Caenorhabditis elegans: one gene and its partner. The protein of the gene in region 1 interacts with the protein of each later gene in a pairwise test. Each region holds a gene or a part of one and is shown on either strand. Other genes may lie near its edges.

The links.
Region 2: the proteins of F41D3.9 (region 1) and mpz-4 interact in a two-hybrid assay, tested with the Caenorhabditis elegans proteins (one large-scale study listed by BioGRID).

The regions. Positions count from the first base shown.
Region 1 is NC_003279.8:12,271,875-12,277,294, forward strand, and holds F41D3.9 (DUF1647 domain-containing protein), read right to left. Parts: upstream 3,315-5,420; 5' UTR 3,265-3,314; coding exon of another isoform or gene 3,125-3,264; intron 3,093-3,124; 5' UTR 2,900-3,092; intron 2,853-2,899; 5' UTR 2,754-2,852; coding exon 2,673-2,753; intron 2,623-2,672; coding exon 2,481-2,622; intron 1,963-2,480; coding exon 1,260-1,962; intron 1,213-1,259; coding exon 1,107-1,212; 3' UTR 1,075-1,106; downstream 1-1,074. Other genes in the region: oac-25 (Acyl_transf_3 domain-containing protein), read right to left, coding at 1-138, 192-316; F41D3.11 (Nucleotide-diphospho-sugar transferase domain-containing protein), read right to left, coding at 5,019-5,304, 5,355-5,420.
Region 2 is NC_003282.8:4,824,253-4,829,512, forward strand, and holds mpz-4 (PDZ domain-containing protein), read right to left. Parts: upstream 3,069-5,260; 5' UTR 3,014-3,068; coding exon 2,912-3,013; intron 2,614-2,911; coding exon 2,503-2,613; intron 2,455-2,502; coding exon 2,237-2,454; intron 2,190-2,236; coding exon 2,041-2,189; intron 1,986-2,040; coding exon 1,675-1,985; intron 1,630-1,674; coding exon 1,454-1,629; intron 1,410-1,453; coding exon 1,268-1,409; 3' UTR 1,236-1,267; downstream 1-1,235. Other genes in the region: tat-2 (Phospholipid-transporting ATPase), read right to left, coding at 3,824-3,859, 4,275-4,392, 4,499-4,596, 5,118-5,260.

The DNA.
Region 1 (5,420 bases):
AGCAGGATGATGAGTAGGTAAAGCGGAAGGATTCTCTTGAACCTTTTCGAGTAGAACAAGGTGATTAGAGTACAAGTTGAATCACTTTCAGCTCGCTTCAGTAGCATGCACATAAGGAAGCCGGATAGGACAAAGAATCTGTAAAATTTCAAAGTGGAAATAAACAAAATAAAAAAGAAAAGTGCACATACTGATCAACTCCAAGATATCCATTGGGAAACTGTGCAGGATAGAAATGAAAACCGAGTACTGCCAAGATGGCAAGACCTCGGAGCCCTTGCAAATCCAATCGCTTTGGTTTAGATGCTTCCGACATGAATAGCCGTGAACAGCTTAGGTGAATAGCAAGCCTCTAAAGACCAAATGGTGTGGCGATGAGGAGTCGGGATAAAGCCCGGAATCCGAGTTTCTATCTTAAACGGTTTTTTTTCTAACTGAATAAAATAGGAGAATCTGTAGATATAAATCAGCTACGAGGCAACGAAACGATTCGGATCCATGGGAGAGTTTCAGTTTTATGCTTTGTCGGTCCTGCCTTGCGGCGATCGCCACCTGCCTCACGCCACGAGCCGTGTCTTTTGCGTAGTATGATGTAGAAGGTACAAGCTATTCCAAGTAGGGATTCCATGTAGGTGCCGAAAAGCCTGCCGCGCCTGCCTTGCGCCCCGAGCAGTACCTTCTGTGTAGTGCGGCATTGAACCCGGAAAGTGTCAGTCGCTGCAAAAGAACTATCTTCCTCATTATGTTGTGTAAACACCGAACCTTTCATTTCACGCTTGAATGCACAAGTGAGGCGAAGAGGTAGACTAGCTTGAGGCAGGCTCCAGGCCCCGGAACCGCGCCTGCCACTCAAGGAATTATACGCATTTAAAGCGAGGACACAACTTTTTCCGCAAGTCGGAGTACCTGCTCGTCGGCACGAAAAAATGTAAATCCTGTGAGGAAGTACCCCTTTTTCATTGAGTTGAACCTAATCACAAGAAAAATCGATAATAGGTCCCGCCTTTATCATGACTTTTTTGCACAATTTAATTGTTTCTCTCTTACTTTCCGTGAACCAATGATAACACTGAAAATAAACACTTCAACTTTATTATCAAAAACAATCAATCAACCATTCTCAAAAACGATTCCGATAACTTTTTCGAGTAGTACCTCCGGTAGTCTTGGAAATCGTTGAGCAGAAGAAGGTTCAGAACAGATTGGTCAAATCTGAAACTACTAGAAAGTTGAAAGAGAAGATGGTTTAAATTCTTTACCTGAAGCAATGCCCCGGATGCTTGTACCGATCCCGCCGGAACACACACCGCAGCCGAGATCCTGGCGGGTTCATGCACTCCTCTGTAAGAGCGCACAGGATCCACCATTTAAATAATTGCATGGTATATCTGGTCCTTGGGAGGAAGATCAATCCGGCGGCGACATGTCTCTGGCGCTGAAGAAGCCTCATGGAGCTTGTTGGAAAGTAGGTAAGGACTGCTGGATTTAGAACTGCAAAATTGCTATGACTAGTATCAGATAAGGATACGACGGAGGCGAAGTAAGAACTATTTCTCTTGAGAATTATCTCCTTTTGTAGATTCCTCGAAATATTCGACTTAAGTAATTCAATATGCGCATCGATCCACCATACGGCTTTGTACTCCTTGAGCATCTGCGCCATGAGCAGTGGCTTGAAGTTGTAGGTGAGCCAGTTGTTCACAAAGCTCGGGTACTGAGAAGTGTTGAAGACTCGGAACTCGAAATGTTTATCTCTTTGCGGAAGTTTCTCGATGAAGGCTTCACTCATGTTTAGGCCATAGAGGATGTATTTGTGGCGTGGATGGAATCTTCGAACTGATTTGTAAGATTTCAGGCTGAGGTGCATGTGATCATCGGAAGTGGAGGATGCAAAGACTACGTTACTCTGATTTCGGAGGACATCCGTGACATTTGATAGGCGAGAATGATCAGAGATGATACCTGAAAAATAGTACTGGATTGGAGGGATTAAAGGACAATCCGTCTTCAAAATCATCACTAGTTTTCCGTGAGTTTTTTTTTCAAATTTAGGGTGTCTTATACCAAGAACTATACCTAGTCGATAACCATCTCCGCTAAAAATGAGACGTCAATCGAAGTTCACGAAGACTTTTTCTATGTATTGTTTGATCTCTTAATGCAGCGGGATTTACAAGCTACTTCCCAATTTTGTTTCAATTTTGATTATCTCCTTATTTCGTGTTGAAATTTGAAATCCATGCGTTCAGATCTTTTGAATAAGTACACACAAACCTATAGGCCTGCATGAGCCTGAGAACGGCCTGAACGGGCCTAAAAAAGCCTGAAAAATCTAGAAAGGTAGGTATAGAGCTCCTTAGAAATTTGAATATAACAACCAGGATTTGCATGTCTAGCTCAGTAAATTTCAAGCCTTTTTAGGCTTTTTCAGGCTTCCAAAAGTTTATGGTAAAAAATATGATAAATGGCCCCATGCTCACCAAGATCTTCCAGAGTACTCAGCAGACTGCAATTGAACTTTTTCCCGATCGAATTCAGATTCTGTGGGTCTCTATAGCAAAAGTTATATGATTTTCCAGTGATCGCCGATTTACAGACGCATACTTCCTGTTTGGGGTGCTTCTGCAAAACTTGAAATAACATTTTCTCAGCCCTCTGGAAAATCAACTCACATCAGCTGGAACATTGATAAAAAAGTAGCAAAATGACCAAATTACGACAAAGCTCAGGAATAATCGACGTGCCTTTCTCATAGTTCAAGAAACTCAATACAGGAGAATCCAGATCCTTCGGTTTGAACGGATGGCTATCGGAGAGAGGGGAGAGTGTGGAAGCTTTATGTAGATAATCATCTGCAAAATGGAAACTTGGCGGTGTACAGAGTTTGGTCAAAACGGACCACAAATCAATTCGGACAGTTTACTTAAGCTTTGACAGATTGCAATTTACTGAGCTAATGCGCGTTGTAGAGCATATCGATGGCTCAAAAATTAAAGGATGACCAAGTAGGATTCTTCAAAGCTATAGTCCTTTTTATATTGACCCCGGTAGATCGCAAATCCGTAGCACCAACTACACTACCCTTGGTGAATCTGAGAAATTTTTGATAAAATTAAGTACTTCAGCTAGCCAAAGCTATCGACATTTTCACTCATACCTGGTCGTTGTCCGTGGAGGCTCAGTTTTGTTGTCTTGTTCCGTTTATATTTCTTATTGCGACAAGGCTTTCTTCCAAGCTTCAGCTTGCGTATTATGCCATTCTAGGTAAGAAGTGTTCCCCGAATCTTAGAAAGTTGTTACCTGAAGTATTCCAGGACTGTGCTCATATGCATTTTTCTGTTTCACACCTGACAATACTTCTTTCAACAGCGTTTTTGCTAGGATCTGGCAATTTCTCATTTTTTTACTGACTTACTGAATTTACTGAGCTAATGCGCGTTGTAGAGCATATCGATGGCTCAAAAATTAAAGGATGACCAAGTAGGGTTCTTCAAAGCTATAGTGCTTTTTATATTGACCCCGGTAGATCGCAAATCCGTAGCACCAACTACACTACCCTTGGTGAATATTAAGTATTTCAGTCCGAATTGATTTGTGGCCCGTTTTGGCCAAGCTTTGATTCACACCTCCAAGCTTCCTTTTTTTTTGCAGATGATTATCTACATCAAGCTTCCACACTCTCCCCTCTCTCCGATAGCCATCCGTTCAAACAGAAGGATCTGGATTCTCCTGAATTGAGTTTATTGAACTTTGAGAAAAGCCTATGGATTATTCCTGAGCCTTACCGTGTTTTTATCAACGTTGTTGTGAGTTTTTTCTCGGGGGCTCATAAAATGTTATTTCAAGTTTTGCAGAAGCACACCAGAGGTGAAGAATGTATCGGAAAGTCGGTGATCACTGAGAAATCATATAACTTTACATCTAACAATTTCATATCTAGGTCTCGCCACCCTGAGTTACTAACAACTCGCTATCTGCGTGGCGAGACCCATTCGATACTTTTATTGCTATCAACTGGGCACAAAACTACAAGTAACTCTACACTACTACCGAATGGTTACAGTAGACCATATGATACTGTAGCTATAATATTCAGTTGTTAGTCGAATTTTTCAGACTGTTAAATTTAATATGAGGGACCCGTTAGATGTCGGCTGCTGCTTCAAAGGTGGAGATACCAAATTGGCCAAAAAATACCAAAAATGGGACGTTCTGAAAATTTCTTTCCAAAATGCTATGATGGTCAAAATTTTGGATCTTTTAAACACTTTTTTTCCCAAAATTTTGAACCAACCTAACTTTTTTTTTGCGAAATTTTCAGAACATCTCACTACAAAAGTCGGTAGTTTTTTTAGTACTCCATCTTTAAAAATGAATGAATCTAAAAAAAATTGATAAACCGAACTACTGTACTTTTTCATAGAAAATTATACTACCATGTAATCTCGTAAAACTTCATGCTTGGTTACATCTGTATCTTTTTCTATTATAAACTATTGTGGAAGTGGTCCTTGATCTCTTCTCATTCTAGTGTCATGTGGTCTTGCCGTCGCGCGTCTATGGGCGCGTGACGACGAGAGACACGAGGCAAGAGAGCATATGGCGGCACACCCTCACGAGTAGAAGATTCTTCAGTCGAGAAAGACCTGACTTGCTGGCCGGACGAAAGCAATACTCTTGTCGTCCGGCTCAGTACGACTCAATAAAGGTATTTGAAAATACTATCAAAGTGTTTTTACTATGATATTGAAACTAAGGCCGAGCATAGGCCATAGCCTTTCAAACTATCCTGAGTTCTTGCAAAATAGACGATTACAAGTATTAGGCCTAAGACCTGTTAGGCCAAAAACCACGGTTGAGGAGATCCCCTGACGTACGCTACTCAGTTGCCAGCTCGAGGCCATACTCATAGTCAGCGAAATATAGGGGAAACTGCCTTTTTTCAATTAGATCTGGAACTTAAAAAAGTGCATCTAGGAAAATAGAAACCAAATAATTTATTAAACACAACAAAAGTTCTACCAGAAAAAGTACTTCTTCAGCCGTCCATCCGCATCCCTAGTGTTCGGAGATTCCCTTTTCGGTTTATCGGGCTGTGAAATTAGCATATCTATCCTAGAGCCAGATCTCACTTGTTCCCGAGCAACATCTCGTTCGAATGCACGAAGGCTGGCTAGAATGACCTCTTTTTCACCCATAAATCTTGAGTCCATATTCCAAGTTGTGTTCTCGGGATTGCATTTGGCGAGGATAATTGTGCCGTTCATAGGGTTGTACCATTGATTTCGAATCATTTGATAAGCACTGTAAAAACTCAAAATTTTGAAATTACATTTCATTTTTAAAAGGATTACCCAACAATTTCCTTCGGCGTCTCCACCAGCTCATTAGTCTTCCATCCATGAAGCATGAAGTCCAGC
Region 2 (5,260 bases), on another chromosome or scaffold:
AAAATTCAAAAGTATGGGAAAATCATATGGAGTCATTCTTTTTTATTTCATAAAACTATTCAGCATAGTCAAAAATACCAGAATCTGTCAATCAAAGTATAATAGCTTGTACGGAAGTATTTTTTTAAAAATTGATAAAAATATATAAAAGCTGATTTTTTCAAAAATTCAAAAGTCCTGAAAAATCATATGGAGTCATTCTTTTTTATTTCATAAAACTATTCAGCATAGTCAAAAATACCAGAATCTGTCAATCAAAGTATAATAGCTTGTACGGAAGTATTTTTTTAAAAATTGATAAAAATATATAAAAGCTCATTTTTTCAAAAATTCAAAAGTATGGGAAAATCATATGGAGTCATTCTTTTTTATTACATAAAACTGCTCAGCATAGTCAAAAACACCAGAATCTGTCAATCAAAGTATAATAGCTTGTACGGAAGTATTTTTTTAAAAATTGATAAAAATATATAAAAGCTGATTTTTTCAAAAATTCAAAAGTCCTGTAAAATCATATGGAGTCATTCTTTTTTATTTCATAAAACTATTCAGCATAGTCAAAAATACCAGAATCTGTCAATCAAAGTATAATAGCTTGTACGGAAGTATTTTTTTAAAAATTGATAAAAATATATAAAAGCTGATTTTTTCAAAAATTCAAAAGTCCTGTAAAATCATATGGAGTCATTCTTTTTTATTTCATAAAACTATTCAGCATAGTCAAAAACACCAGAATCTGTCAATCAAAGTATAATAGCTTGTACGGAAGTATTTTTTTAAAAATTGATAAAAATATATAAAAGCTGATTTTTTCAAAAATTCAAAAGTCCTGTAAAATCATATGGAGTCATTCTTTTTTATTTCATAAAACTCTTAAGCATAGTCAAAAATAGCAGCAAATGCCGAACAGAGTATAATAGCTTGTACGGGTGTTTTTTTTTAATTGATAAAAATATATAAAAGCTGATTTTCAAAAAAATTTTTCGGAAATTTGAAATGATTGAATAAAACAATCTAGCTGAAATTAATGTTTAACTAAAGTATTTTCCAAAAAATGTTAAATTGTTCCATCACCGATGTTAGATTTTCCAATAATTAAAAAAAAAATTTTTAGGTGCGACCCATCATTGGCTTTTTAGCGGGCCTTCACGTACATTTGGTTAATGTCTCGCTTTTAGCGCTTTACCTGTGCTGTCTAACACACAGAAGGTCGGTGGTTCGAGCCCGCCCGAGATCAGTCAAATGTTTTATTAAAGAAGAATGAAGTTCATTTTTTAACCGGCATGTTCGAAGATGCCGATTCGGTCACCTTGGTCTTCAGCGGCGGGAGCCAAACGAAAAGCTTCGAGTTCCATTCCGCCGGAATAAAAAATTCTTCAGTTGTGTTGTTGAATCCAACAGCCGGGTCCCTGAATTAGTTGAAGATTTTATCTTAATTTATTTAAAAACATACTTTTTGGTAACTTTCGCATCACTCTTCTTCTTCCCAACTTCTCCCGGCCCTTCTTCCTCTTTTAAAATGGGAGCCAACGCTTTTCCATTTTTCAGAGCTTCAATTCCTTCTACAAAGTATTTACGGACATCTCCACAAAGCAAGTATTGCGGTCGTTCGGCAGTTCTCATAACATTCTGCAATTAAAATAGAAGAAAAAAAATGTGAGGCAAATAACCAACTGCAAGCTGTCCCCGAACCATATTTTTGATTGGATCCGTATTCGGATACTCAACCAACAATCGAATCCATCCATTCGCCTCAAATCCTTCGCGAAATCGTTGACGATTATCTGCCAGAGTGTTGATTGGTTTATCATCAACAGCAATAATAGCTTCACCAATATTCAAACTACAATGTGAAACTGAATCCGGAATAGTGTAGTTGACCACCACTTTTCTGTCGACCTGCTGCACGTTCAGACCAAGCTGCAGGTATTTGAATTGGTAGAGAATGGCCAAATCGATGGTGTGATCCTGTGTGGCTAAGATACCTGAAATTATATGAAAATTACTGTTTCACAATAAGAAACAAATATTCAAACTTACCATTTGGAATCTTAGACGTAGACATTCTGTTCTTCAATCTAGCGACCAGAACCGTAATCTTTGTCTCAGATTTTGAGTTCAAAATCTTTCCGACAACAACCTTGAAGTCTGGATAAAGTGAATGTGGTGCTCTCACAGGTTCAGTTTTCCTTAATAAGGTAAATATTTTTCAAGTTTTCATAACATTTGTCCTTACGGTGTAGTCGTTGGCTTCCTCTTAACAGTCTTCACATTTGACTGGAGACTTGCTCCACCGGTGGTCTCGTCGACATGCTCTGTCAATTGTTTCTCATCGAATGAGACAGTCGTACCGTTCACTTGCAAGATGATGTCACCCGGTAGAATTGCTCCTTTGAATGGGCTCGCGTAATGAACACGAGTGACCAACCCATGTCGATTGACGAGTCCGAGTTGCTGGAAATCAAAAACGTTTTACATAAAGTCATTGATGATGTCGCTTACCGTTATTTTATCCTTCTTTGGGAGCTCAAATGTGGCCTCTACAAGCATTTTGTAGCTGTTTGGAACTGGTTCTCCACGCAGAATGACCACATCTTTGACTCGAGCTTCTATCTGAAATACGTGTTTCTAGAATAGAAATAACTTTTAAAATAAAATTATGTTTCACTACTAGTGTACCATTAAAAAAACCATTAAACCATTAAAAAAAAGAAAGTTTGATTCTATAATAAAATATTCTTTCGAACACCCCCGACTGCCTCAATTACTTAGTTCAAGAAATATTGTTCACAATGAAGAAAAATAAATTAATTATTAAAAAAATCTTGAATAAAGTTCAAAAATTATTATTCAAATTTCTCACTGTTTCGATTCCAAATCCAACTTCCAAATTCCAAAAAACCCCTCTCACCTCTCCCTTCTTGAATCCGGGCCGCTCCCAAACCGTGTCTATTCCCTCTGCACCTTCCGGATAGATTTTATATTTGACTGCAGGTGGAATTTCTTGTGGCATCTTTTCAAGCTATCAAATGCTTTGAATTGAATTTGTTTGATACTTGAATTATCGATTGTTGTGAAATAAATTAGAATCGAGAAGAACAATGATAAGAGGGGGTGGGGGGGAGGGAATAAAAAATTAGAGCAATTGATCGAACGTGAAGATAAAATATCAAAGGTCAGAATTATTAAATCTTTTTCAACGTGATTTTCTAACTTTTTTTTAGAACTGAACTTATTGAGAATGTTTTCGGCATAAAACTGCAAAATCGCGTGATTCAAAATCAATCATTTATGTTTTATGTTTTTTCTTGGGACACGATTCGTATGGAATCGTATTAAAATAAATAAATAAATAAATCGTTGAAACGTGTGAGTTTGAAAATTACTTACCAACGAAGCAAATTAAATTGTGAAATCCAAACTTTTTCACCAATTTCGAGAAACTATAGAATTTTTTAAAAACTGTTACTTTGTGTTACCTTTGTTAAAAAAAAGTAATAATAATGTCTTGAAACTGCATTTTTTTTTGAAATTTTTTTCTGCCACTGCTTGTTTAATTAAATTTTTATAGACACTGATATATTAATCAACAACAAGAATATGAACAATTATTTATTGAATATTTCAAAAATTACACGATTGGAATACATCATAAATTACCCATTTTGATATCAATCACATTATCAGCGATCACCAATTATATAATTACAGCAAATTGAAGAAAAAGAGCAAACAAAACCCAATTGAGAGCCTAAAACCGGTGCCTACAAGACGGGGAAGAATGTTTGAAAGAAAATCGGAAAATAAATGCAAAAAATGAATTTTAAAGGCGAGTGATTACGTCTGGTTGTTCTTCGACCTGTTGGAAAAATAAAATATTATATTTAGAAAAAATGTATCAAAAGTAAATTTATTGCAAAAAAAATGAATTAAAGTTGAAAACTAACAGAAAAAGGGTCAAAGCACAAAGGGTTCAAATGAAAGCACACACTGCACTGCACGAGATCAAAAAGTAGGTCAAAAGTGAATAAATTACAGTATTCCATAGGAGTACTGTATGTTGAATAGTTGTAATCTCAAAATGCATAAAAATTAATATTTAAAAAGAAAAAAATTAAGTTCTAACTATAATAAATAAGTAACACACAAACACAAGTACACACAAAATTAGATAATTTGAGCAAATTGAAACAAATAAGAATTCATTATGAAAATTATTTACAAACGCCAGATTTGGATAAAAAGCGGCAGAACCGGATGGAGCACAATTATACCTGAGTTTCCCGCGAATACACGTGGTTTCTATGGCTCCGTCCATCGCCACGGATTACTGTACCCTGCAGTGGTGATGGTTCCTTTGCATAGGCTGGACGGAAATCCGATGATTGAGACCTGTGAATAAATGGCACACAATAGAGTTACAATAGAAGTACGGTAAGTATATCAGAAGTGAAGCAACGTGCTTTAGAAGTGTGTAAAATTTTATGTGAAAACTTACCAGTCATCAGTATTTACATTCAATGTATGGGGTACATTCTGTGGACGTGTACCCATTGGAAGGTGCATTGCATTAATACTTGAAGCTCCTTGGCTGTCCTGAAATATATTATATTAGAAGGGCAAATGGATAATTTTTTGTAAAAACAAAACTGAAAAGTTAGCCCATAAGTATGTTACCCTTGAGATTTTAAAAATTACTGCTTCAAAGTTTTACTGCCTTCAAACAAAGTGAAAAAAAGTTTTGTTCGAAAAATTTAATGGAATGTTTCAACAACATTATAAATTAATAAATATGATTACTGTACAATTAGTAGTGGGACGTGAACTTATTTTGAGTTTGGTTATTCATGGCTAAAAGCATGAAAAATGTCTCGGATAATGCTAACATTTGAAAACAATTAAATTCTAAATGGAAATTTGTCTGTAACTGCACAAAGTTGCAAAAAGTTGAAAAAAAGTTATTTGAAATTTTCCGAAATTATTGTTTCAAAGATTTTTTAAAAATTGCTGATTATCTTTTATTCACTGGGAGTAGTAATTTCATTTTCTGTCTAGGTTTAAATTATCTAGGTTTCCGATTCTCATGCCAAAAAATTTTAAATTCACATTGAACTTACATCAGGCACACTAGAAATAAGCATCGGCTGCAAGTCATCAGAAGTCGGGTGAATTTTCGCATTCGAATTATTCTTTCCCCGTAGATTTTCCACATTTTTGAACAATTTTCCTTTGAGAATGAGTTCTCCGAATCCTTGTGAAT